Caenorhabditis elegans: one gene and its partners. The protein of the gene in region 3 purifies or fractionates together with the protein of the main gene of each other region. This does not show direct contact. Each region holds a gene or a part of one and is shown on either strand. Other genes may lie near its edges.

The links.
Region 1: the proteins of Y54E10A.11 (region 3) and herc-1 fractionate together in Caenorhabditis elegans (co-fractionation; one large-scale study listed by BioGRID). This does not show direct contact.
Region 2: the proteins of Y54E10A.11 (region 3) and rep-1 fractionate together in Caenorhabditis elegans (co-fractionation; one large-scale study listed by BioGRID). This does not show direct contact.

The regions. Positions count from the first base shown.
Region 1 is NC_003279.8:1,208,605-1,215,288, forward strand, and holds the start of herc-1 (HECT domain-containing protein), read left to right. Parts: upstream 1-2,880; 5' UTR 2,881-2,890; coding exon 2,891-2,984; intron 2,985-3,969; coding exon 3,970-4,169; intron 4,170-5,182; coding exon 5,183-5,375; intron 5,376-6,359; exon of another isoform or gene 6,360-6,440; coding exon of another isoform or gene 6,441-6,519; exon of another isoform or gene 6,520-6,566; coding exon of another isoform or gene 6,567-6,582; intron 6,583-6,684. Other genes in the region: nsun-2 (tRNA (cytosine(34)-C(5))-methyltransferase), read left to right, coding at 1-90, 2,258-2,401; Y48G8AL.16 (Fungus-induced protein 1), read right to left, coding at 6,441-6,519.
Region 2 is NC_003281.10:1,567,411-1,577,109, forward strand, and holds rep-1 (Rab proteins geranylgeranyltransferase component A 1), read left to right. Parts: upstream 1-2,895; 5' UTR 2,896-2,913; coding exon 2,914-3,029; intron 3,030-4,013; coding exon 4,014-4,083; intron 4,084-4,133; coding exon 4,134-4,364; intron 4,365-5,142; coding exon 5,143-5,294; intron 5,295-5,389; coding exon 5,390-5,597; intron 5,598-6,336; coding exon 6,337-6,515; intron 6,516-6,816; coding exon 6,817-6,976; intron 6,977-7,537; coding exon 7,538-7,634; intron 7,635-7,683; coding exon 7,684-7,761; intron 7,762-7,922; exon of another isoform or gene 7,923-7,995; intron 7,996-8,019; exon of another isoform or gene 8,020-8,092; intron 8,093-8,364; exon of another isoform or gene 8,365-8,440; intron 8,441-8,461; exon of another isoform or gene 8,462-8,534; intron 8,535-8,670; coding exon 8,671-8,798; intron 8,799-9,015; coding exon 9,016-9,129; 3' UTR 9,130-9,228; downstream 9,229-9,699. Other genes in the region: Y67D2.2 (Ubiquitin carboxyl-terminal hydrolase), read left to right, coding at 2,346-2,441; Y22D7AL.7 (Talin_middle domain-containing protein), read left to right, coding at 9,346-9,468. UniProt on the Caenorhabditis elegans protein: Substrate-binding subunit of the Rab geranylgeranyltransferase (GGTase) complex. Binds unprenylated Rab proteins and presents the substrate peptide to the catalytic component B and remains bound to it after the geranylgeranyl transfer reaction.
Region 3 is NC_003279.8:3,188,788-3,195,180, forward strand, and holds the start of Y54E10A.11 (E3 ubiquitin-protein ligase listerin), read right to left. Parts: upstream 4,071-6,393; 5' UTR 3,910-4,070; coding exon 3,874-3,909; intron 3,825-3,873; coding exon 3,738-3,824; intron 1,984-3,737; coding exon 1,422-1,983; intron 1-1,421. Other genes in the region: syp-5 (PH domain-containing protein), read right to left, coding at 4,872-4,928, 4,978-5,051, 6,037-6,327. UniProt on the Caenorhabditis elegans protein: E3 ubiquitin-protein ligase. Component of the ribosome quality control complex (RQC), a ribosome-associated complex that mediates ubiquitination and extraction of incompletely synthesized nascent chains for proteasomal degradation.

The sequences.
Region 1 (6,684 bases), 2.0 Mb from region 3:
TCAAAAGAGGAACGACTTCATTTATTGAGAATGATGGGAGTGGATTGTGCTGAAATTGAGCTTTTGATGAAGAGCAAACGAAAGGAGAAGGTGAGCAAAAGCGATGAATTTCGAAAAATATTATCAAAAAATTGGGAAAATCTAAAAAATTTAAAAAAAAATGCTAAAAATTTGAGTTTTTCGACTGAAAATTTCAGCATTTTCGAACAATTTTCAAATTTTTCCAAAAAAAAAAAAAATTTTTTTTGAGAATTTTACTATAAAACTTTTAAAAATTATTTTTAAATTATTTTTATAGTTATTTTTTTGACTTCCCGCCCAAAAAAAGACGTAATTTGGTCATTTTTGAGCTTTTTCGCCTTTTTTTTCGCTGAAAAATATCTAAAAAATTTTTAATTTCATTTTAAAAAATTCTGTGTAGAAAAATTAATAATTTGAACATTGAAAAAAAAACGTAATTTTAAAAATTTAACTCAACTTTTTTGGAAGTTGTCTTTTTTTTTGCACATGAAAATAGTCAAAATTTAGAAAAAAAATTAACAATTTTCTTTTTTTTTCAATCGGCAAACCGGCAAATTGCCGAAAATTAAGGATTCCAGCAAATCGGCAAATTGCCAAAATTTAAAATTTCTGCAAATTGCCAGAATTTTAAATTTCCGGCAAATCGACAAATTGCGAGAAATTAGAATTTTCGGCAAATCAGCAAACTGGCAAATTGCCAGAAATTAGAATTTTCGGCAAATCGGCAAGCCGGCAAATTGCCAGAAATTAGAATTTTCGGCAAATCAACAAACTGACAAATTGCCAGAAATTAAAATCTCCGGCAAATCGGCAAATTGCCAGAAATTAAAATTTTCGGCAAATCAACAAACCGGCAAATTGCCAGAAATTAGAATTTCCGGCAAATCAGCAAACTGACAAATTGCCAGAAATTAAAATCTCCGGCAAATCGGCAAATTGCCAGAAATTAGAATTTTCGGCAAATCAGCAAACCGGCAAATTGCCAGAAATTAGAATTTTCGGCAAATCGGCAAGCCGGCAAATTTCCAGAAATTAGAATTTTCGGCAAATCGGCAAGCCGGCAAATTTCCAGAAATTAGAATTTTCGGCAAATCAACAAACTGACAAATTGCCAGAAATTAAAATCTCCGGCAAATCAGCAAATTGCCAGAAATTAAAATCTCCGGCAAATCGGCAAGTTGCCAGAAATTAAAATTTCCGGCAAACCGAAAAATTGCCAGAAATTAAAATTTCCGGCAAATCAGCAAATTGCCAGATAGTAGAATTTCCGGCAAATCAGCAAACCGGCAAATTGCCAGAAATTAGAATTTCCGGCAAATCGGCAAGCCGGCAAATTGCCAGAAATTAGAATTTCCGGCAAATCAGCAAACCGGCAAATTGCCAGAAATTAGAATTTCCGGCAAATCAGCAAACCGGCAAATTGCCAGAAATTAGAATTTTCGGCAAATCGGCAAGCCGGCAAATTGCCAGAAATTAGAATTTTCGGCAAATCAACAAACTGACAAATTGCCAGAAATTAAAATCTCCGGCAAATCAGCAAATTGCCAGAAATTAGAATTTTCGGCAAATCAGCAAACCGGCAAATTGCCAGAAATTAGAATTTCCGGCAAATCAGCAAACTGACAAATTGCCAGAAATTAAAATCTCCGGCAAATCGGCAAATTGCCAGAAATTAGAATTTTCGGCAAATCAGCAAACCGGCAAATTGCCAGAAATTAGAATTTTCGGCAAATCGGCAAGCCGGCAAATTTCCAGAAATTAGAATTTTCGGCAAATCGGCAAGCCGGCAAATTTCCAGAAATTAGAATTTTCGGCAAATCAACAAACTGACAAATTGCCAGAAATTAAAATCTCCGGCAAATTGGCAAATTGCCAGAAATTAAAATTTCCGGCAAATCGGCAAACCGCCAGATTGCCAGAAATCAAATTTTCTGCAAATTGCCAGAATTTTAATTTTCCGGCAAATCGGCAAATTGCGAGAAATTAGAATTTCCGGCAAATCAGCAAACTGGCAAATTGCCAGAAATTAGAATTTTCGGCAAATCAGCAAACCGGCGAATTGCCAGAAATTAGAATTTCCGGAAAATTGTTATTTTTAGAAAAATAGGATAATTTGAAAATTGAAGAAAAAAAACTAATAAAAAAGTTTAACTAAATTTTTTTGGAAGTTTTCACAAATTGTTAGTAATTTCATGAGAAATAAGTTAAATTTTTGTCCAAAAAATCAATTTTTCAGGCCGCCCAAGACCGTGAAGCCGCGTGGGCTCGCAAGGAAGAAGCCGCAAAGGCTGCGGAGCCGTCCAGCAGCTCAACTGATGCTCCAGAATCTGCTGAAACTCTGGAAATTCCAGAAGAAAATGTTCAAGAAATGACTGAATAATTTGTTTTTTTTTTGTTATCTCTTTTTTCTCCTTTAATTTATCTCCATTTATCCCCTACACAGTTATAAATTCTGCTACGTGGCCGTGTGGAAAAAACTCGGCCACCGATTTTTTTTTGTTCCCTCACGTGGTGCCAAAGTGTTTCATTTCTGTTTGATCTACAAAAAATGCGGGAATTTTTCCCCAAAAAACTGTGACGTCAGCACGTTTTTAATCGTGCAAAATCAGTTGAGAACTCTGCGTCTCAACTCCCGCATTTTTTGTAGATCTAGGTAGATCAAACCGAAATGAGACATTCTGTCACAACGTGTTCCCTTTATTGTTGTTGCAGTTGTTATTTGATTTTTTTTTTTGAAAAAATTTGAATTTTTTTTTCAGATTTTTTCCTCTGATACTGCTTCAAAAACTAAAGTTGTTGAGATCACACTATGATATTTTCTAGATTGTTTTTTTAAAATTTAATTGTTAAAAAAATCAGATTTCAGAAAATGCGAGCTGAGCTGCTCGGATGTGGACACACGGGCGAGGGACAGCTCGGCGTTCGGCTCTCCGAGTCGACGATTCAAGTTCCCGAGAGAATTAGTACGGAGCTATTTTTGTTGCAGAAATTAGAAAACAGAAAAAAAAATTAATTCCGAAATTAAATTTTAAAAATTAAAAAATTTCGGATGAAAAAAAAACAATTGGAAGATTTTTGTAAATCTTTCACAAAACTTTAAAAAAAACTTTTTTAAAGAAATAATGGCAAACCGACATTTTGCCGGAAATGGAAGATTCCGGCAAACCGGCAAAAAGCCAGAAATTAAAATTTTCTGCATATCGACAATTTGCCTAAAATGAAAATTTCCGGCAAATCGGCAATATGCCTAAAATGAAAATTTCCGGCAAATCGGCAATTTGCCTAAAATGAAAGGTTCCGGAAATCGGCAATTTTCCTAAAATGAAAGGTTCCGGCAAATCGGCAATTTTCCTAAAATGAAAGATTCCGGCAAATCGGCAAGTTGTCAAAAATGATAGATTCCGGCAAATCGGCAAAAAGCCAGAAATTAAAATTTTCTGCAAATCCACAATTTGCCTAAAATTAAAATTTCCGGAAATCGGCAATTTGCCGAAAATGAGAGATTCCGGCAAATCGGCAATTTGTCAAAAATGATAGATTCCGGCAAATCGGCAAAAAGCCAGAAATTAAAATTTCCGGCAAATCGGCAATTTGCCGAAAATGATAGATTCCGGCAAACCGGCAAAAAGCCAGAACTTAAAATTTCCGGAAATCGGCAATTTGCCGAAAATGAGAGATTCCGGCAAATCGGCAATTTTTCAAAAATGATAGATTCCGGCAAATCGGCAAAAAGCCAGAAATTAAAATTTCCGGCAAATCGGCAATTTGCCTAAAATGAAAATTTCCAGCAAATCGGCAATTTGCCTAACGAAAAAAAATTGATTACTTTGGAGCAAAATTGTATGCATCTTTAAAAAACTCTTTTTTTTTGAATATTTGTTTAAAAACTGTGTGAAAATAGTTTAAAATCGTCTCGGAATTTTCTCTGAAAATTGTTCAAAATTTCAGTTGGCGCTCCAAATGATATGGATGGAACCGCAGTGACGTCAGTCACGTGTGGTGAACAACATACAGTATTCCTGACAAAAGATGGCAAAATGTGGAGTGTTGGTAGTAATATGGATGGACAATTGGGACGAGGCAGTCGGACTGAGGGTTCTTTTTCGATTTATCCGGTTTCTTGGACAAGCAGTGCGAAAATTATTCAGGTAACTTTGAGTTTTTTTTTTGGCGAAAATCCATTAGAAAATGATTTTACCATATTTTTTCGCTAAATAACATTTGAAAAATAAAAAATTTTTCGTTTTTCCCTAGTTTTTGGCGAGAAAATCCCGTAGATCTCATTTTTGTAAACTCTTTTTCCGTGGAATCCCCTTTTCTTAGATTTCCATCTCGCAGATCCTCTTCCCATAGTTCCCATTTGCGTAAATTCTCTTCTCGTAGATCCCCGTTTCGTAGATCTCCGTCTTGTTGATCCCCTTCTCGTAGAATAGCAAATTTCTAGATCCTCTTCTCCCAGATACTCTTTTGGTAGATTCACTTCTCGTAAATCTCCTTCTCATAGAATTAATTTTGGTTCCCGTTTCGTAGATCTCTGTTTCGTGCAAGCTCCCTTCTCGAAGATTCCTTTGCCGTAGATCTTCTTTTCGTAGATCACCCTTCTCGCAGCTCTCTTTTTTGTAAATTCTCTTTTCATAGATCTGCCTTCCATAGACTTCCCTTCTCGGAGATCTCCTTTACGCAGAACGACGTTTTGTAGATCCTTTTCCATAGATTCTCCTCTCGTAGAATGGCTAATTCCTAGATCCTCTTCTCCCAGATCCCTTTTTTTGTAGATTCTCTTCTCGTAGATCTCCGTTTCGTAGATGCTCTTTTTTGTACATATATTTTCCATAGATCCCTTTTTGCCTTTAATGTAGATTTTTTCCATAATTACCCTCTCCGTAGATCTCCTTCTCGTAGATCCCATTTCCGTAGAATTCCCCCTTTCGTAGATCCCATTTTCAAAGATAGCCTTTCCGTATAATCTCCCTTTCGTAGATTCGATTTTCGAAAATAATAATCTCGCAGATCCCCTTCTCATAGATCCCCATCTGGTTGATCACCTTCTCGTAGATGCTTTTTTCATAAATTCCCTTACTTCAGATCCATTTTCCGTGGATCTCCTTTTCGCAGAGCCAATTTCCATAGATCGCCTTCTCGTAGAAATTCCATTTTTCAGATCTCTGCTGGCCGTTCTCACACAGTCTCCGTAACCGACGATGGGCGTGTCTTCGCTTGGGGCTCCAATGAGCACGGACAACTCGGAATGGAGAGTAAATTCACGTGGCAGGGAACACCACGACGTGTTCAAGAGATTAATGATATTGTACAAGTGGCGTCTGGATCCAATCATTGTATTGCGTTGGATGAAGGTAGAAATTTGGAAATTTGTGAAAAAATTCAAATTTTTGCTGGAAAAGTCCAAAAAGTATCTCAAAAACCTGAAAAATTGAAAAATTTAGTAAGGGGATATGGTCGGGGTACTGTAGTAGTACTGTAGGGGTACTGTAGGAGTACGGTAGGATTACTGTAGTTTAGGGAAATTTGACTTTTTCTCTTTTGAATGGATATTGGTTTGGGGTTAGTGGGGGGGATATGGTCGGGGTACTGTAGTAGTACTGTAGGGGTACTGTAGGAGTACTGTAGTAGTACTGTAGGATTACTGTAGTTTAGGAAAAATAAACTTTTCGTCTTTTGAAGGAATATTTGTTTTCGAATAATTTGCAAAAACGGAAAGCTGGATTTTTTTGAAAATAAAAAATAAAAATGTAATCCCGCTTCAACGCCAAAAGAAAAGTTGGGTCTCGTTAGGAATTGGCGGCGAAATTTTTTGCTAATTTTTGCTAATTTTGAAGCATTTTTTGTTGCTTTTAATAATTTTTGTACCAACGACGACCAAAAAATCATGGAAATCCAGAGAAAAACCGATCAATTCTGAATTGAAATTTGAATTGCCGCGCTCATTTTTCAAATTTTCCACGCTTATGAAAATGGTTTGAATCAGGGGAAAAATTCAATTTCAGCTACTACTTTTCTTGATTTTAGCGAATTTTTCTCGCTTTTATTTATATATTTTCATAAGTTTCAGTACCTGAACTATTCACGTGGTGCCAGGCTGTCCCATTGCGGTTTGATCTACAAAAAATGCGGGATTTTTTACCAAAGAAAATGTGACGTCATCACGTTCTTAGCCATGCGAAATCAGTTGAGAACTCTGCGTCTCTTCTATCGCATTTTTGTAGATCTGCGTAGATCAAGCCGAAATGAGACTTTAGGAATTGTTAAATTTTTTTGTTGATATTTCGAATTTTCAAAGAATCTTGATTAAATATTTACTTTTTGTTTTGAAATTTTCCTTTAGAAAAAAAAACAATTTATTTAAATAGTCATCGTAAATATACACACACACTTATATCCTTCTTTTAAATCGCTTCTTCTTAACGTCCTCCGACTGGGTAGGCTCCTCCGGCTGGGGCTCCGTATGATGGAGCTGGAGCAGCGTAGGCAGTATGCTGGCTGTATGGAAAACAGGGGTGTGCGGAGGAGATAACCGATTTTTTCGGCTAACGGCTAATTCGGCTAAAATCAATCGGTCAGATCGGCTAATTTTCGGCGAATTCGACGAATTCAGAAAATATTCTATTCATCTGGTTAAGCTTTTTTCGTTCTTTCTGTTCATTC
Region 2 (9,699 bases), on a different chromosome or scaffold from region 3:
CGTTAGCCGAAAATTTTGAAATTAGCCGTTAGCCGGTTCTCAAAAAATCGGCATTAGCCGATTTATCCGTTAGCCGAAAAAATCGGTTATCCGCACACCCCTGCTGCCTACCCTTCCCAAATGAGCACATATTTGTGTGTGTGTGTGTGTGTGTGTGTGTGTGTGTGTGTGTGTGTGTGTGTGTGTGTGCTCATATATGTAATTACCACCCCCTCCCCCTTGTCATCAGGTTACCCAATCTCCTCTCTCACTACGTATTTATATATTCTCCCAGCTGCTCATAGAGCGCATTCTATGTGGATTTGCATTACGACCGCAGATTTCAATCACCAAAATTTCGCGCCAAAATTTTATATTTCACTTTAATATTCGAAACTTTAAGCTTTCTAGCGATCAAATGCTTATATATATATATATATATATATATATATATATATATATGTATTTATATACCAGCCGTGGACCGCACCTCCGGCGCGGCCCCCGACTTCTGTTGCTGAAAACCAATGTTTCTGAAACTACCGTAATCATACAGTACTCCTACCGTACCACCATTGTACCACTACTACAGTACCCCGACTATATCCCTACACTAACCCCAACTCACTATCCCTCCAGAAGCTAAAACTTCGCAGACTACAAAGACTACATAGACTACAAACTATGGACAAACGGAATAAGCGCTTTATATATAGTAAATTATATATATTAGGTCTCCAAATAAGTTCCGGGTCAAAATTGATAACTTTGTTCGCTGTGTATCAATTTTTATGAAACTTTGGGAATTTATGTTATCAACCATGATCTTTCATTTGACAATAGTCACAAAATTTTTTGACCACCCCAAGTGTCCTAACTCGGAGCCAATTTTTTCAGGCATTTTTCTGATCTCGGTTCTTTTCAGTTTTCAATTGAGCTTTGTGTGCGGATTTTGCTTTGTTTAGAATACATTATTAGAAAACAACAAAAGTTTGGAAAAAAATCCGCCCAAAAAATTTTTTTTTGTCGAAAATTCTTGATTTTTCCTACAAAAATGATGTAACCAAGTGTAAACTATTTTTACACATATAAATCATTTGAGTTAAAAATTTGAATCTCAAGAAATATTCAAAAAACTAAAAAATTATCCGAAAAAATTGTATTTTCTACTATCATTTTAGTGTATCGAACTAAGTTGATATGTTTTGTATGTCGAAAAATAGTTTACACTTGGTTACATCATTTTTGTAGGAAAAATCTAGAATTTTCGACAAAAATTATTTTGAACATTTTTTGACGACCAACCAAAAAAATTTTTTTTTGGGCGGATTTTTTTCCAAACTTCTGTTGTTTTCTAATAATCTAAACAAAGCAAAATCCGCACACAAAGCTCAATTGAAAACTGAAAAGAAGCGAGATCAGAAAAATGCCTGAAAAAATTGGCTCCGCGTTAGGACACTTGGGGTGGTCAAAAACTTTCGTGACTATTGTCAAGTGAAAGATCATGGTTGATAACGTAAATTCCCAAAGTTTCATAAAAATCGATACGCAGCGAACAAAGTTATGATTTTTGACCCGGAACTTATTTGGAGACCTAATATATATATACCAGCCGTTCGAACGCGCTGAAGCGCGTGCTCCGACTGGCGTACTCAAAATTGAAATCAAATTCTAAAATTTCTAAGCCTTTCTCTGTAGATGGAACGTTTTTTTTCTGTTTTCCGGAAGTTTTCGAGCAACATAAATATTATATAGCTGAGTGTTTACAACTAAAAAAAAACGTTTTTCAAATCATATAAAACTTTTTTCCGGTCCTTTCCGAGAGTTTTTGGCGAGCGTTTCTGGAAATTATAACAATTTTGATCTTTTTTTTTCAAATTATTGAAACTTCAGAATATTCTAGGAGTATCAAAACTTGAAGAAGTTTTTTTTTTTGAACTTTCCGAAAGGTTCTAGAAATTTGCAGGTTCCTGAAATTTTCCACGAAATTGAACACTTCAGAATTTTCCCGATTTCTCTAGAAAGTTTTGGAACATTCCAGAATTTTCTCGAATTTATTTTTCTCAGAAAATTTGAATTTCCAGTCAACGAAGAGCCTTTGTCACAAAAACGACATATTATTAAAATTCACAGAATTTCCTAAATATTCCCTTCCTAAACATTTTCTCGTGACCCATGTGCTTCTACTCGTATTGGTGGCATAAAAACTGTATTTATTCACAGTTTCAGTCTTAAATTGGCCGAAAATGTGAATAAATACCGTATTTCTGCCAACAATTTGACAATAGAGCACATTTGTCACTCGGAGATGCGGAAGCTATGCCCAAATTTTCATTTTTCCCCCGAAAACTTGTATAATTTTTCAGGTAACCCGTGTACCGTACTCCCACGTGGCAGCCTGTCAAAGTTATATGCTATTCTACGAACGTGTCAAACCTCATCGACTCTACGAAAGGATGTAATTTCTGGATTTTTATTGATTTTTTTGAGAAAATTTTTTTTTTGGAAATTTCGCAATTTTTTTCCCAAACAATTGATTTATTTTGTTGCTAGATTCCCCTTATTTTTTGTTGTAAATTTTAACATTTTAATGACACAACGTGTAGCATTTCCTTTAAAGTTTATTTTTTGTGCAAAAATTCAGAAAATTTGAAAAAAATATTATAACTCTTCCCCCCGTCCCGTGCCATTTTTGTTAAGTTTTGTGTGTGTGTGTGAAAATGAAGATTTTTCGTGTTTTTTCCACTTTTTTTAGTTAATTTTTAAAGGTTTTCAGCCGTAAATCAAATATTTTAATAGAAAAAAAAATTTTTTTTGGAAAATTTTCAAAAAAATTTTTTTTTTTTTTGGTTTTTTTCAATTTTTCAAATTTAAGCATGACATCTCTTATTTTCCAAAAATTCAAACTATTTCCAGCTTTTCCAGCTCTAAAAAATGGACGAAAAGTTGCCAGAATCAGTGGACGTAGTGGTGCTGGGCACCGGACTACCTGAAGCCATTCTGGCTTCAGCTTGTGCTCGAGCTGGCTTATCTGTGCTTCATTTAGATAGGTAATAGGCGAACTAACATTTAAAAAAAGTTTAAAAAAATGAATGAATGAAATTGAAAAAAAAAAAATTTTTGCGAAAAAAAAATTATTTTCGGCTAAATTTTTTTTTTAATCATAACTTTTCCTCAAAAATACAGCAAAATTCGAATTCTCCACGTCGCCAGCTTCAATTTGATCCCCAAATTGCCTATATTCCGCTGGTTTTGAAGTTTTCGGGTCCCGCCACGAAAACTCCTCGGGTTACTGTAGTTTTTCGCGGCGGGACCCAAAATAAACGGATTCTGGGCATGATGGGGGTCATTTTGAAGCTGAGAACCTGATGAATTCAAATATCACATTAATTTTCGGGAAAAATCAGAAAGTAAAAATTTTCTGACCAAGTTTGTGGAAAATTTTTCGGAAAACGTCAAAAGTTTCCAATTTTCGAAAAATGTCAGCCAACTGATATCATATTCGAGTTCTCCACGTCACTAGCTTTAAAATAACCCCCCACCATGTCCATATTCCATTGATTTTGATTTTTTTGGGTCCCGTCACGGGTTACTGTAGCACCGATTTCAGCTGTGTCGATTGTCAAAATACACCGAACCTAGGCGTGTTGGGGCTCATTTGAAAGCTAATAACGTTGAGAAATCAGATTAATTGTTCGTTTTCGGAAATATCGAAAATTAAACAAATTTTAAGAAAAAAAAATATATATTTGCCAAAACATTTTTCAATTTTCAGAAATTTAAAAAATCAGAATTCTTTCTGAAATCTTCACGTTACCAGCTTTCAAATGACCCCCATCATGCCCATATTCCGCCTACTTTGAGAATTTTGGGTCCCGCCACGCGGGTTACTGTAGCACCGATTTCAGCTGTGTCGGTTGTCAAAATGCACGGAACCTAGGCGTGTTGGGGGTCATTTGAAAGCTGATAACGTCTGGAATTCGAATTTCATACTCGATTTCTTGAAAAATTCGAAATAAAAAATATTTTTGCAGAAATGAGTACTACGGCGGTGATTGGTCATCATTCACAATGTCGATGGTTCATGAAGTGACTGAAAATCAGGTTTTTATTGATTTTCAGCCAGAAAAACCCCAAAATTTCCGAATTTTCAGGTAAAAAAGCTGGATTCCTCGGAGATTTCCAAGTTATCAGAGCTTTTGACTGAAAATGAGCAGCTCATTGAGCTCGGCAATCGAGAAATCGTGGAAAACATTGAAATGACGTGGATTCCACGTGGAAAAGACGAGGAAAAGCCGATGAAAACGCAACTGGAAGAGGCTTCACAAATGCGGCGATTTTCCATCGATTTAGTGCCGAAAATTCTACTTTCCAAGGGAGCAATGGTACAAAATTGCAAAATTACACCTAAATTGGAGAACTTGATGTTTTGCCCTAATAGTCATCAAAAAATCAATTTTTGCCAAAAAAAAAATTTTTTTTGAAACTTTTTTTCTGAAAAAAAAGAAAAATTTTTCTAAAAATTCAATTTCCTCATTTAAAACTCTGAAATTCGAATTCTCTACGCCACCAGCTGTCTAATGACACCCAACATGCCCAGGTTCCGACCGCTTTGAAAATTTTGGGTCTCGCCACGCGGGTTACTGTAGCATCGATTTCAGCTGTGTCGAGACTGCCAAAATTCAAAATCAACGGACCACGGACATGTTGGGGGTCATTTGAAAGCTGATAAAGTGGAGAATTCGAATTATTTGCTAGTTTTCTGAAATATCGAAAATTTAAAAAAATTGAAAAATATTTTCCAAAAAATTGTCAATTTTCAGAATATTCAAAAATTAACATTTTTTCCGAGATCTTCACATCACCAGCTTCAAAATGACCCCCATCATGCCCTGGTTCCATGCAATTTGATTTTTTTGGGTCTCGCCACGCGGGTTACTGTAGCACCGGCTTCAGCTGTGTCAAAACTTCCAAAAGTCAAAATCAACGGAGCCGGGGCATGTTGGGGGTCATTCGAAAGCTGAGAGCGTCGAAAAATTCGAATTTCCGCATTATTTTCAGATATTGAAAAGTTTGACAAAAATTTATGGGAAAATTTTGAAAATCTTGAAAAAAATTTGGAAAAAAAAAACGATTTTCTTCCAATTTTTTGAATTTTTTCAGGTTCAAACACTCTGTGACTCCCAAGTATCCCATTATGCCGAGTTTAAGCTTGTCAACCGGCAGCTATGCCCAACAGAGACCCCAGAAGCCGGAATTACCCTAAATCCGGTGCCATGTAGCAAAGGAGAGATTTTTCAGAGCAATGCTTTGTCGTAAGGGATTTTTTTAGGCTGAAAATCGATAAAATATCGATTTTCTTTGCCAAAAAAATCGATTCGCAATGATAAATCTCCAAAAATTCTTCCAGAATCCTGGAAAAGCGAGCTCTTATGAAATTCATCACATTCTGCACACAATGGAGCACAAAAGACACGGAAGAAGGCAGAAAACTGCTCGCCGAGCACGCCGACCGCCCGTTTTCAGAGTTTTTGGAGCAAATGGGCGTTGGAAAGACCCTGCAGAGCTTTATTATTAATACGATCGGCATTTTACAGCAAAGACCCACTGCGATGACGGTGAATATGCGGAAATTACTGTTTTTTAGAAAAAAATCTGAATTTCTAAAAAAATTGAAAATGAAAAAAAAATCCAAAATTTTTTTTTTTGCACGAAATTTACTTCAATTTTTTTCAAAATATTATTGAAAAATTTGAATTCTCGCCACTCTCAGCTTCAAAATGACCCCCAACATGCCCGGGGTCCGTTGATTTTGAGTTTTGGCAGTCTCGACACAGCTGAAACCGGTGCTACAGTACCCCGCGTGGCGAGACCCGAATTTTCAAAATCATCGGAACCCGGGCAGTATGGGGGTCTTTAGAAAGATGATGATGTGGAGGATTCGAGTTTTGAGTCGATTTGAAAAGAAATTTATAATTGAAAAAAATTTGAGCAAAAAATTATTTTTTTTTTCGAAAAAATGTTGATTTTGTCTATTTTGCTAAAAATTTTTGAAAAATTCAAATCTCTAACGCTTTCAGCTTTACAATGACCCCCATCATGCCCATTTTCCGTGCAGTTTGCGCTCCGACACAGCTGAAACCGGTGCTACAGTACCCCTCGTGGCGGGACCCAAAATTTTCAAAATCGATGGATCATGGGCATGATGGGTGTCATTTGGAAGCTGGTGATGTGGAGAATTCGAATTTCGAGTTGATTTTCATGTCAAATTTGAAATTGAAAAAAATTTTGAGAAAAACAAATTTTCAAAAAAAAAAAAAAATTTTTTTCAAAATTTAAAATTTTTCCAAATTCCAGGGAATGTTGGCATCATGCCAGTTCATGGATTCTGTCGGCCATTTCGGTCCATCGCCATTCCTCTTCCCACTCTACGGATGTGGAGAGCTCTCACAGTGCTTTTGCCGGCTGGCAGCAGTCTTTGGGAGCTTATATTGTCTGGGACGGCCTGTACAGGCTATCGTGAAAAAAGATGGAAAGTTAGTGAAGAGAATAAGCGAAAAATCAATAGTTTCTGCGAAATTTGACCTAATTTTCAAGTCAAATTCCCAGCAAAACTAGTTTTATACAATATTCCGTGACTCATGTGTTTCTACCCAGATTGATGGCATAAAAACTGTTTTTATTCACATTTTCAGCCTTAAATTGTGCTGAAAATGTGAATAAATACCGTATTTCTGCCAACAATTTGACAATAGAGCACATTTGTCACTCGGAGATGCGGAAGCTATGCCCAAATTTTCAATTTGTCGGAAAACCAATTTTCTCAAAAATTTCCAGAATTACGGCTGTAATTGCCAATGGAGATCGTGTAAATTGTCGCTACATCGTGATGTCCCCGAGATTTGTCCCCGAAACTGTTCCAGCTAGTAGTACGCTGAAAATCGAGAGAATCGTCTATGCGACGGATAAATCGATTAAAGAAGCCGAGAAAGAACAGGTTCCGGAGCATTTTTTGGAGTTTTCCACCAGGAAATTCGATTTTCCCGCAAAATTCCACTCTAGAATTCAATTTCCCCGGGCTTCTAGCTCAATGTTACAATTTTTGGGGTTACTGTAGCGCCAAAAGTACGTTGACCTCGGTGCTTGCGTACCTGAGACCGAATTTTACGAAATTGAGCTTAAATTGGCTGAAAATCATGTTCCGGGGTGAATTGGCAACGGGAAATTCGAATTTCGCATTGAAAACCACCTTGGTCAACTGGTTTTCGAGAAAAATTTAATTTTACTCGAGAAACCAGTGCTCCTAGTTGATTTTCAATGCAAAATTCGAATTCCCCGTTGCCAATTTACCCCGTAACTGAAATTTAAGCCAATTTGGGTTCAATTTCGTAAAATTCGGTGTCAGGTACGCAAACACCACGGGGGCATCGCGTACTTTTGGCGCTACAGTAACCCCGAAAATTTCAAAATTGAGCTAGAAGCCTGGGAAAAAATAATTCTAGAGTGAAATTTTGCGGGGATTTCGAATTTCGTATTAAAAATCCGAAAAAATTTTCAGCTAACCCTCCTCAATCTGGCATCTCTCCGGCCCGACGCCGCAGTCTCACGGCTTGTTGAAGTGGGCTTTGAAGCCTGTACGGCTCCGAAAGGACACTGTAAGCCCCCACGTTTTTTCCTAGAAAAATAAAGATTTTTTTTTTGCAGTTCTGGTGCATGCAACGGGTACCCAAGAAGGAGAAACAAGTGTCAAGACTATTGCAGAGAAGATTTTTGAAAAAAATGGTGATTTTCGCGGAATTTTTAGGGGGAAATTTTGAATTTCCACTACCGAAAACCTATTTTTCGCTTAAAATTTGAGAAACTTTCATGGAAAAGTCATTTCCAAGTGAATTTTCCCTAATTTTAGGTGAAAAATTCGAATTCTCCGCTATAAAAAACCTATATATCCCCACGGGGAATCGAACCCTGGACCTTTTGCTCCAAAGGCGAGCCGCTTAGCCACTGCGCCACGCGTTGCAGCTAACCAGTGATGCATGTTGCACCCCGTGGCGCAGTGGCTAACAGGCTTGACTTCGGAGCAAATGGTCCCGGGGTTCGAGTCCCCGCAGTGGTGTATAGGTTTTTCATAGCGAACATTTCGAATTTTTAACTTAAAATTCGCAAAAATTGAGTTACAACCTAGTTTCCTGAAATTTTCGCTCGAAAATGATACAAAATCCATTTTTTTGAACTATTAATATATGTTAAGCTTCAAAGTTCTAAAATAGAGACTCCAAGAGTTGAAATCTCAGCAAGGATTCAGTGAAATTTTGAGAAAAATTATTTCCAAGTGAATTTTCCCCAATTTTAAGTGAAAAATTCGAATTCTCCGCTATAAAAAACCTATACACCCCCACGGAGAATCGAACCCCGGACCTTTTGCTCCAAAGGCGAGCCGCTTAGCCACTGCGCCACGCGTTGCATCACGCGCCGCTGGTTCGGCGCACCGGTGGCGCAGTGGCTAACAGGCTTGACTTCGGAGCAAAAGGTCCGGGGTTCGAGTCCCCGTGGGAGTATTTAGGTTTTTCAGGGCGGAGATTTCGAATTTTTCACTTAAAATTCGCGAAAATTGGCTTGGAACCCGGTTTTTCTTTAATATTTTTGAGTTTTTCGATTTTTCCTAGAAAAATCGATATTTTTTCTGCATTTCAGAAGTGGAACCCTACTGGAAGATGAGCTTCACCGCGAATTCCATGAAATTCGACACCGCCGGAGCCGAAAATGTCGTCGTCGCGCCGCCAGTTGATGCGAATTTACACTATGCTAGTGTGGTGGAGGAGGTTAGGGCGAAAGAACGATGAAAATTGGATTTTTGAGCTGAAATTGAATTAGAAATTCAAATTAGAAAAAAAAATTTCGAAAAAATATAAAAATTAAAAAAAAAAAATTTTTTTGAAAAATTTTTCAGAAAATTTTTTTTTTCGAAAATTTTTTTGAATTCAATTTTTATCGATTTTTCTGAATTTTAAACACCTGCTATATATCCATTTTTTCCAGTGCCGCCAACTATTCTGCACAACTTGGCCCGAGCTCGACTTTTTGCCAAGAGCCATGAAAAAAGAGGAGGAAGAAGAGGAAGAGCCGGAAACTGAAGAAATTGCAGAAAATTAATTGAAAATTCGAGTTTTCCATGTAAAATTACCCCCAGACTCCCGTTTTTTTTGGCGATATTTCACTTTTTTGTGCATTTTTTGTAAATATTTGAAGAATATTTAACCATTTTTCATTGATTTTATCGATTTTTTCTGGGTTTCCAGCCTATTTTTTTACTTACTTTTTGAACATTTTTAATCATTTCAGCCCAAAACCCCCTCATTTTAAGCAAAAATGGACGAAGAAGTAGTGTTAGAATTGGCGTCCCAACAAGCCATCAAGTTTTTGCTCGCCGAGCCAAAATTTGCGGAAAAATGGCAGATGGAGATAGCGAAAGGACTGAGGGAGGACTTAAAGGTGAGATTTCTACAAAAAATTTAAGAAAAAACTTCGAAACCCCGAGGTTTTTACGAAAAAATCCATTTCTAGGCAGATTTCCATAGATTTTAAGTAAAAATTCGAAATCTCCGCTATAAAAAACATAAATACCTCCACGGGGACTCGAACCCGGGACCTTTTGCTCCAAAGGCAAGCCGCTTAGCCACTGCGCCACCGGTTTCCCAGCCAGCGGCGCGTGCTGCACCGGTG
Region 3 (6,393 bases):
ACGATAAACAACGCGTGATGCGTAATATCGGAGCATCGTTATTTCGATTTATTCGAAAAACTGCGAAAACCGCAGTTGGCACGGTGCCAGACATCCTAAAAATGTAGATCTACCGAAATCTGGGAAATAATTTTTAATTGACTCCAAATTCGCCCCTAATTCCAAATTTCGATGTGAAAAAATCAAAAAAAAAAAATTTCCCTAATTTTATATTTAAGCTTGAAATCGCAGAATTTCATTTGTGCCCCGGTCTCTTTTTTCAAATACGCGCCAAAATAAATTCGCATTGGAGCGCGCTTGCATCGTTTGATTTTCTTCGTTTTTAAAAAAAATTATTTTCGTCGAATTCAATTTTTTTTAACCAGTGTTATTCATTTTTGACGAAAAAATTTTTTTTTTTCAGAAAACCGATAAAACTTTTTTTTCGACAAAAAATGAATGAAACTTTTGAAAAAAATTGAATTCGACGAAAAAAAATTTTTAAAAAAACTAAGAAAATCAAACGATGCAAGCGCGCTCCAATGCGAATTTATTTGGGAGCGAATTTGAAAAATCTCATGGTTTGCGCACGTGCGCAAATGAAAATCGTGATTTCAAGCTTAAATATAAAATCTCGGATTTTTTTTTCGATTTTTTCACATAGATATTCGGAATAGGGAAAATGTGGAGTCGATTAAAAATATTTCCCAGATTTTTCGGTGCTCCACCTTTAAAAACGTGGTGCCTCAAATTTTTTTACATTCATTTTCGGTCATTAGGGTCTTTTTTTTTCATCATTTAAAGGGTGGAGTACCGAAATTTAAGACTTTGCTTTTTTAGACCAAAATTGGTCCAAAACTACCGAATTTCGTAATGAGACGTTTTGAAAATTTCTCAAAAAAGAAGTTACGGCGGTTCAAATTTTTGAAAAAAAAAGCTAATTTTCAGCTAAGATCAAAATGTTTGCCAACTTTTCGGTGTTGCAGCGTCTGGAACTTAATTTTTATATATTCATCACTTTTTAATAAATATTGCGGTTTTTTATTAGCCGTTTATTCGTTGATTTTCAGTGCATTTATGGTCAGTGGGGCGCAAAGTTGCATTTTTTTTTAAAGTTACATTTTGTGCTCCACTGACAATAAATGTACTAAAAATCAACGAATAAACGGCTAATAAAAAACCGTAATATTTATTAAAAAGTGATGAATAAATAAAAATTAAGTTCCAGACGCTGAGACACAGAGAAGTTGGCAAAAATTTGATTTTAGCTGAAAATGGGCCTTATTTTGCAGAACTTTGAACCGCCGTAACTTTTTTTGAGAAATTTTCAGAACGTCTCATTACGAAATTCGGTAGTTTTGGACCAATTTTGGGTCTAAAAAGCAAAGTCTCAAATTTCGGTGCTCCACCTTCAAAACATATATTTTCTGACTCTACTCCACCTTTAATATAAGATAGGAATGTATTCAAAGATTGCGTCTCCAGTCTCATTTTCCGCGTTTCCAGATCCTCCGAAGCATCATATTCCGCTGGCAGCGAGAGTTCATGCTTTCCCTCCGCAATTTTCGCTGCCAAATCAAAGGTATTCGGCACAAAGAGCTCCACAACTTGTCGCTTCTTATCCGCATCAAATCCATCTCGAATAACTGCAGAAGCAGCCGCAGCGACTCCATTCGTAACATCAGACTTTGCAAAAAGAACGAAAGGAATGATTTTCTTCAATCCTTTACTCGCAGATTTCTTTAACTTTGTCAAAAACTGAGAAATCACTTTCATCGTGAGCATTCTCACAGTTGGGCTTCCATCTGTGGTCAACTGGGCGACGAGTCCACAGAAATGCTCATAGGAGCTCTCGATCGAACTATTTTCCGTGTTTATCAGTTCCATAAGCTCTTTGAGCCCCTTTTCTCTCGTCTGACAGTCTTTTTTCGTCAATTTTTTCATGACAATCCGAGTTTCGTCGTCGATTTCCACTACTTGATGGAGTCGATTGCTGCTGGCCACCTGGAAAAAATTATAATGCAATTCAATTTTTTTTTCTGAAAATAACATTTATTTCCGCTGACACGTTCGGAAAAAAGCATTTTTTTTGCCATTTTTGAGCACGTTTCGGCGGAAAAAAAAAGCAAATTTTCATATTTTGGCACTAATTTTTAATGAAAAATGTTAGAAAAAAATCAGCCCCGCACAGAAAAAGAGGCGGGGCGTGATTTTGCAACTCTGCGGCACGGTTTTTCAACTTTTAAATAAAAATTTCGATTTCTACCTGTTTTATTCTCTTTTTTCGAATAAAAATATTATCCTATTTAATTCTGATATTACTTATCCATCTACAAAAAATCGTCATATCTTACGCGCAAGATATCCCGCGGGGAAGAAACGAAGTTACTGTATTCGTGTCGATTTACGGACCGCTCTGGCTGCATTTTTCGAACTTAATTTTTTTCAATTTCGATCAGCGATTTTTCATTTTCAAGCGTTTTATGTTAAAAATTCAATTATTTATTTGAAAAATCCATAAAAATGAGGAAAAAAACGAAAAGTATCTGAAAGTTGAAAATTACTGCTTTTTTAAATTTCGAGCAGCAATTTTCAAATTTCAGATATTTTTCGTTTTTTTTCTCATCTTTATGGATTTTTCAATTAAATAATTGAATTTTTAACATAAAAACGCTTGAAGATGAAAAATTGCTACTCGAAATTTAAAAAAAAATTAAATTCAAAAAATGATGCCAACCCGGCCCGTAAATCGACACAAATACAGTAATTTTGTCTCTTCCCTGCGGGATATCTTGCGCGTAAGATATGGCGACTTTTGCAGATGTATACGTAATATGAGGATTAAATTGGATAATATTTTTATTAGAAAAAAGAAAAGAAAAGAAAACAGGTAAAAATCGAAATTTTAATTTAAAAGTGGAAAACGTGCCGCAGGGTTGCAAAATTACGCTCCGCCTCTATTTCTGTGCGGCGCCTGCTTTTTTGATAGTTTTTTCTAACATTTTTTATCAAAAATCACTTGATTTTTCAGAAAATAACACTTATTTCCGCCGAAAAGTGCTCAAAAATGGCAAAAAAAATTTTTTGAGCATTTTTCAAAACTTTTCAGCGGAAATAAATGTTATTTTATGAAAAATCTTGGGAATTTTTTTAAATTTTTTTGATTTTCCAAATCAAAATAGCCTCTCACCTCGAAAATATTCATCTCAGGTGCCAATAAAACAAGTGAAATCGAAATTTTAATTTAAAAGTGGAAACCGTGCCGCAGGATTGCAAAATTACGCTCCGCCTCTTTTTCTGTGCGGCACTGCTCTTTTGATCGGTTTTTCTAACATTTTTCATTTAAAATTAGTGTCAAAATATGAAAATTTGCTTTATTTCCGGCGAAAAGTTTGAAAAAGTGCTAAAAAATGGCAAAAAATCTAATTTTTGAGTATTTTCCCAAACTTTTCAGCGGAAATAAAGGTTAAAAACAAAGGAAAAATATTGGGAATTTCATTACTTTTTTAATTAAAAAAATCAAAATGGACTTTTTTTAAAGCTTTTTTTAAAAATAATTTTTCATTAAAAATTACTTCATTTTTCTGAAAATAACATATATTTCTGCCGAAAAGTTTGAAAAACTGCTCAAAAATGGCAAAAAAAAAGTAGTTTTTGAGCATTTTCCCTAATTTTTCAGCGGAAATAAAGGTTTAATAAAGGAAAAATATTGGGAATTTTTTATTTTTTCACTTAAAAAAATCCAAATAGCCTCTCACCTCGAAAATATTCATCTCAGGCGTCAACCCGACAAACGTGGCTCCTCCTTGAGCCAAATACTCGTGAGCCGCCGCACTGCTCGCATTCTGAACAACTCGTTTCATCTTCATTTTAGCCAAGGAATGAAAAACTAACCTTTGCATTTCCTTTTCGCCGTTGCTGCTTACTCATTTTTTAGCCGTTCGAGAGAGACGCACAATATTATCCAGTATTTCCTAATAAAAATGGAAAAAATTGGGAGTTGTTCGGTGGAGCGCGTTTGCTTTTAAAGGTGGAGTGTAGTGTGTCTCTGTGAGCTTTTTAGATGGTAAATTGCAGGAAAATGGGTTTTCCTAAAATTGTAGAATTTATCTAAATTTTTTGAAATTATTTTTTCAATTTTTCAACAAATTTGACATTTTCCAGCTATTTTTTATTGGTTTTTTGCGTTTTTTTGTTTTATAATTCGAAATTTTGTTTTTTTTTTTTTTAACATTTTGTGTGAAAGAAATTCTAAAATTGGCTTAAAAATCGATAATTTCTCAACTTTTTTGCGGAAAAATGCCTGAAAATGTGACAAATCATGTTTCAAATTGGAATTTTTTTTTAATGAAAAAATTGCCATAGTCATATTTATTAATTTTTTTTCAATTTTGCACAGAAAAATCCATTTATTTTTGAATTCCCGCGCAAATTTCGGCATTTTTCAGATATTTTTATTGGTTTTTCTCACATTTTTACAGACATTTTTCTGTAAAATTCGATAATTTAACGTTATTTTTTGTAACTTTTTTACGGAAAAAATTCCTGAAAATGTGATAAATTATGTTTCAAATTACATATAATAAAAGAGGAAAATCAATTAAAATAACAGGAAAACGTCGAAACTAGGAAGAAAGCAGCAATTCAAAAAATGGGCTCTTTTCAGTTTTTTTTCCAATTTTCCAAAAAAATAAAATAAATGAATTTGGATCGAAATAGAACCAAAAAAAAGTAATTTTAAAAAACCAAAGAAAATAAAATCGAATAAGAAACAATTTCAGATATTTTTTTAAAAAAGGTGTGGGTATAAAACAAAACCGAATGACACAAAATTATAAATCACATTTAAAATAATTATATTTACTGGTTGCAATAAAAAAAAATAATCGTTTCTAATCGTCGCTTCCCCAGATACTTTGATCCGCATCACCCTCCTCGTCGTTCAGATCCTGAAATTTTTTCATTTTATTCGATTAAAAAAATTAATATAAAACTAACATCGTCACTATCATCACTTTTCCTGTCATCCTTTGATTTGGCTCTGTTCGGAGCAATAATACTGCTGTCGAGATCTGAAAATCGGTATTTTATAGAATTTCCACCCAAAAATGAGCGTAAAAATATTTAAAATTTTAGTTTTCCGATTTTTTTTTTTTTAAATCGCATTTTCAGCCATTTCTCATTCTTTCAAAAAAGTTTTTTGCTTCGTTTTGTGTGAAAGAAACCCTAAAATTGCCTTAAAAATCGATAATTTGACTTTTTTCAATTAAAATAGCCAGAAATTACCGAAACGATAATATTTGTTGCAAAAGTTTCACAATTATTTAAAATAAATTTTAGAAAGATTTTTTTCCAATTTCACAACAAAAAAAAGCCGATTTATTTTTGAATTCCCAAGCAAATTTCGATTTTCTAGCAATTTTAATGGGTTTTCATCATTTTTACACATTTTTCCGTAAAAATTGAAAATTACTTTAAATTTTTTTTCGGAAAAATTCCTGAAAATCTGATAAATTATGTTTCAAATGAAAATCAATATTTTGATGACCAATTCTTCGTTTTTCTCATCAAAATCAACATATTTTTGATAAATCTAGAGGCTTTTCTACTTTTTTCTAGATTTTTCGATTTTTAAAAAAAAAATACCTGACCAAGGGCATTTTTCGAGCTTTTCCGCAAAAAAAAAACGATATTATTTTCAGATTGAACAAATATTTTCTACCGTTTTATGCCAATTTTTGATTTAAAAAATTGGGTTTTCAGATTTTCTTGAAAATTACATAAAAATGTGGAAAAGTGTTCGTTTAATCTGAAAATAATATTTTTTTTAGATGAAAATAATATTTTTTTTAGTGTTTTTTAGTTTTTTTAGTGAAATACGTAGAATACCTCAAAAAAGGCCATTTTTCGAACTTTTCCATAAAAAATAATGAAAATTTACAGATTAAACGAACATTTTTCTACACATTTATGGCAATTTTTGATATAAAAAATTTGGATTTTAAAACTGAAACAACAATTTTCGTGGGTTTTTCAAAAGATTTCCAAAATTCGCACCATCATCCTCGTCACTTTCAATCTCCACAACCTTCTTCTCCGGTGTTTTCATGTTCATCTTGGCCGCAGCAGCCGCCTGTCGTTGACTAAATTCTGTCAAATGTGCAGCCATTGAGAACTCGACAGCCGTCGGAGATTCCTCTTTCTCATCAGATAATTGTCCGAAAAACGCGTTAACTCCAGATTCATCCTGAGTGGTTCCGTCGTCGAATGAGTTCTCCGATTCTTCGTCTGAATCTCTGTTCGGAACTTTCAGAAGTCGAATTCCTGGATTTGAGTGGCGGGTCGATTCTGGAGGATTTTTTTTGTAAAAGAGTTCCCCCGCATTTTAGGAGCAATTAAACGATCGAAAAAACA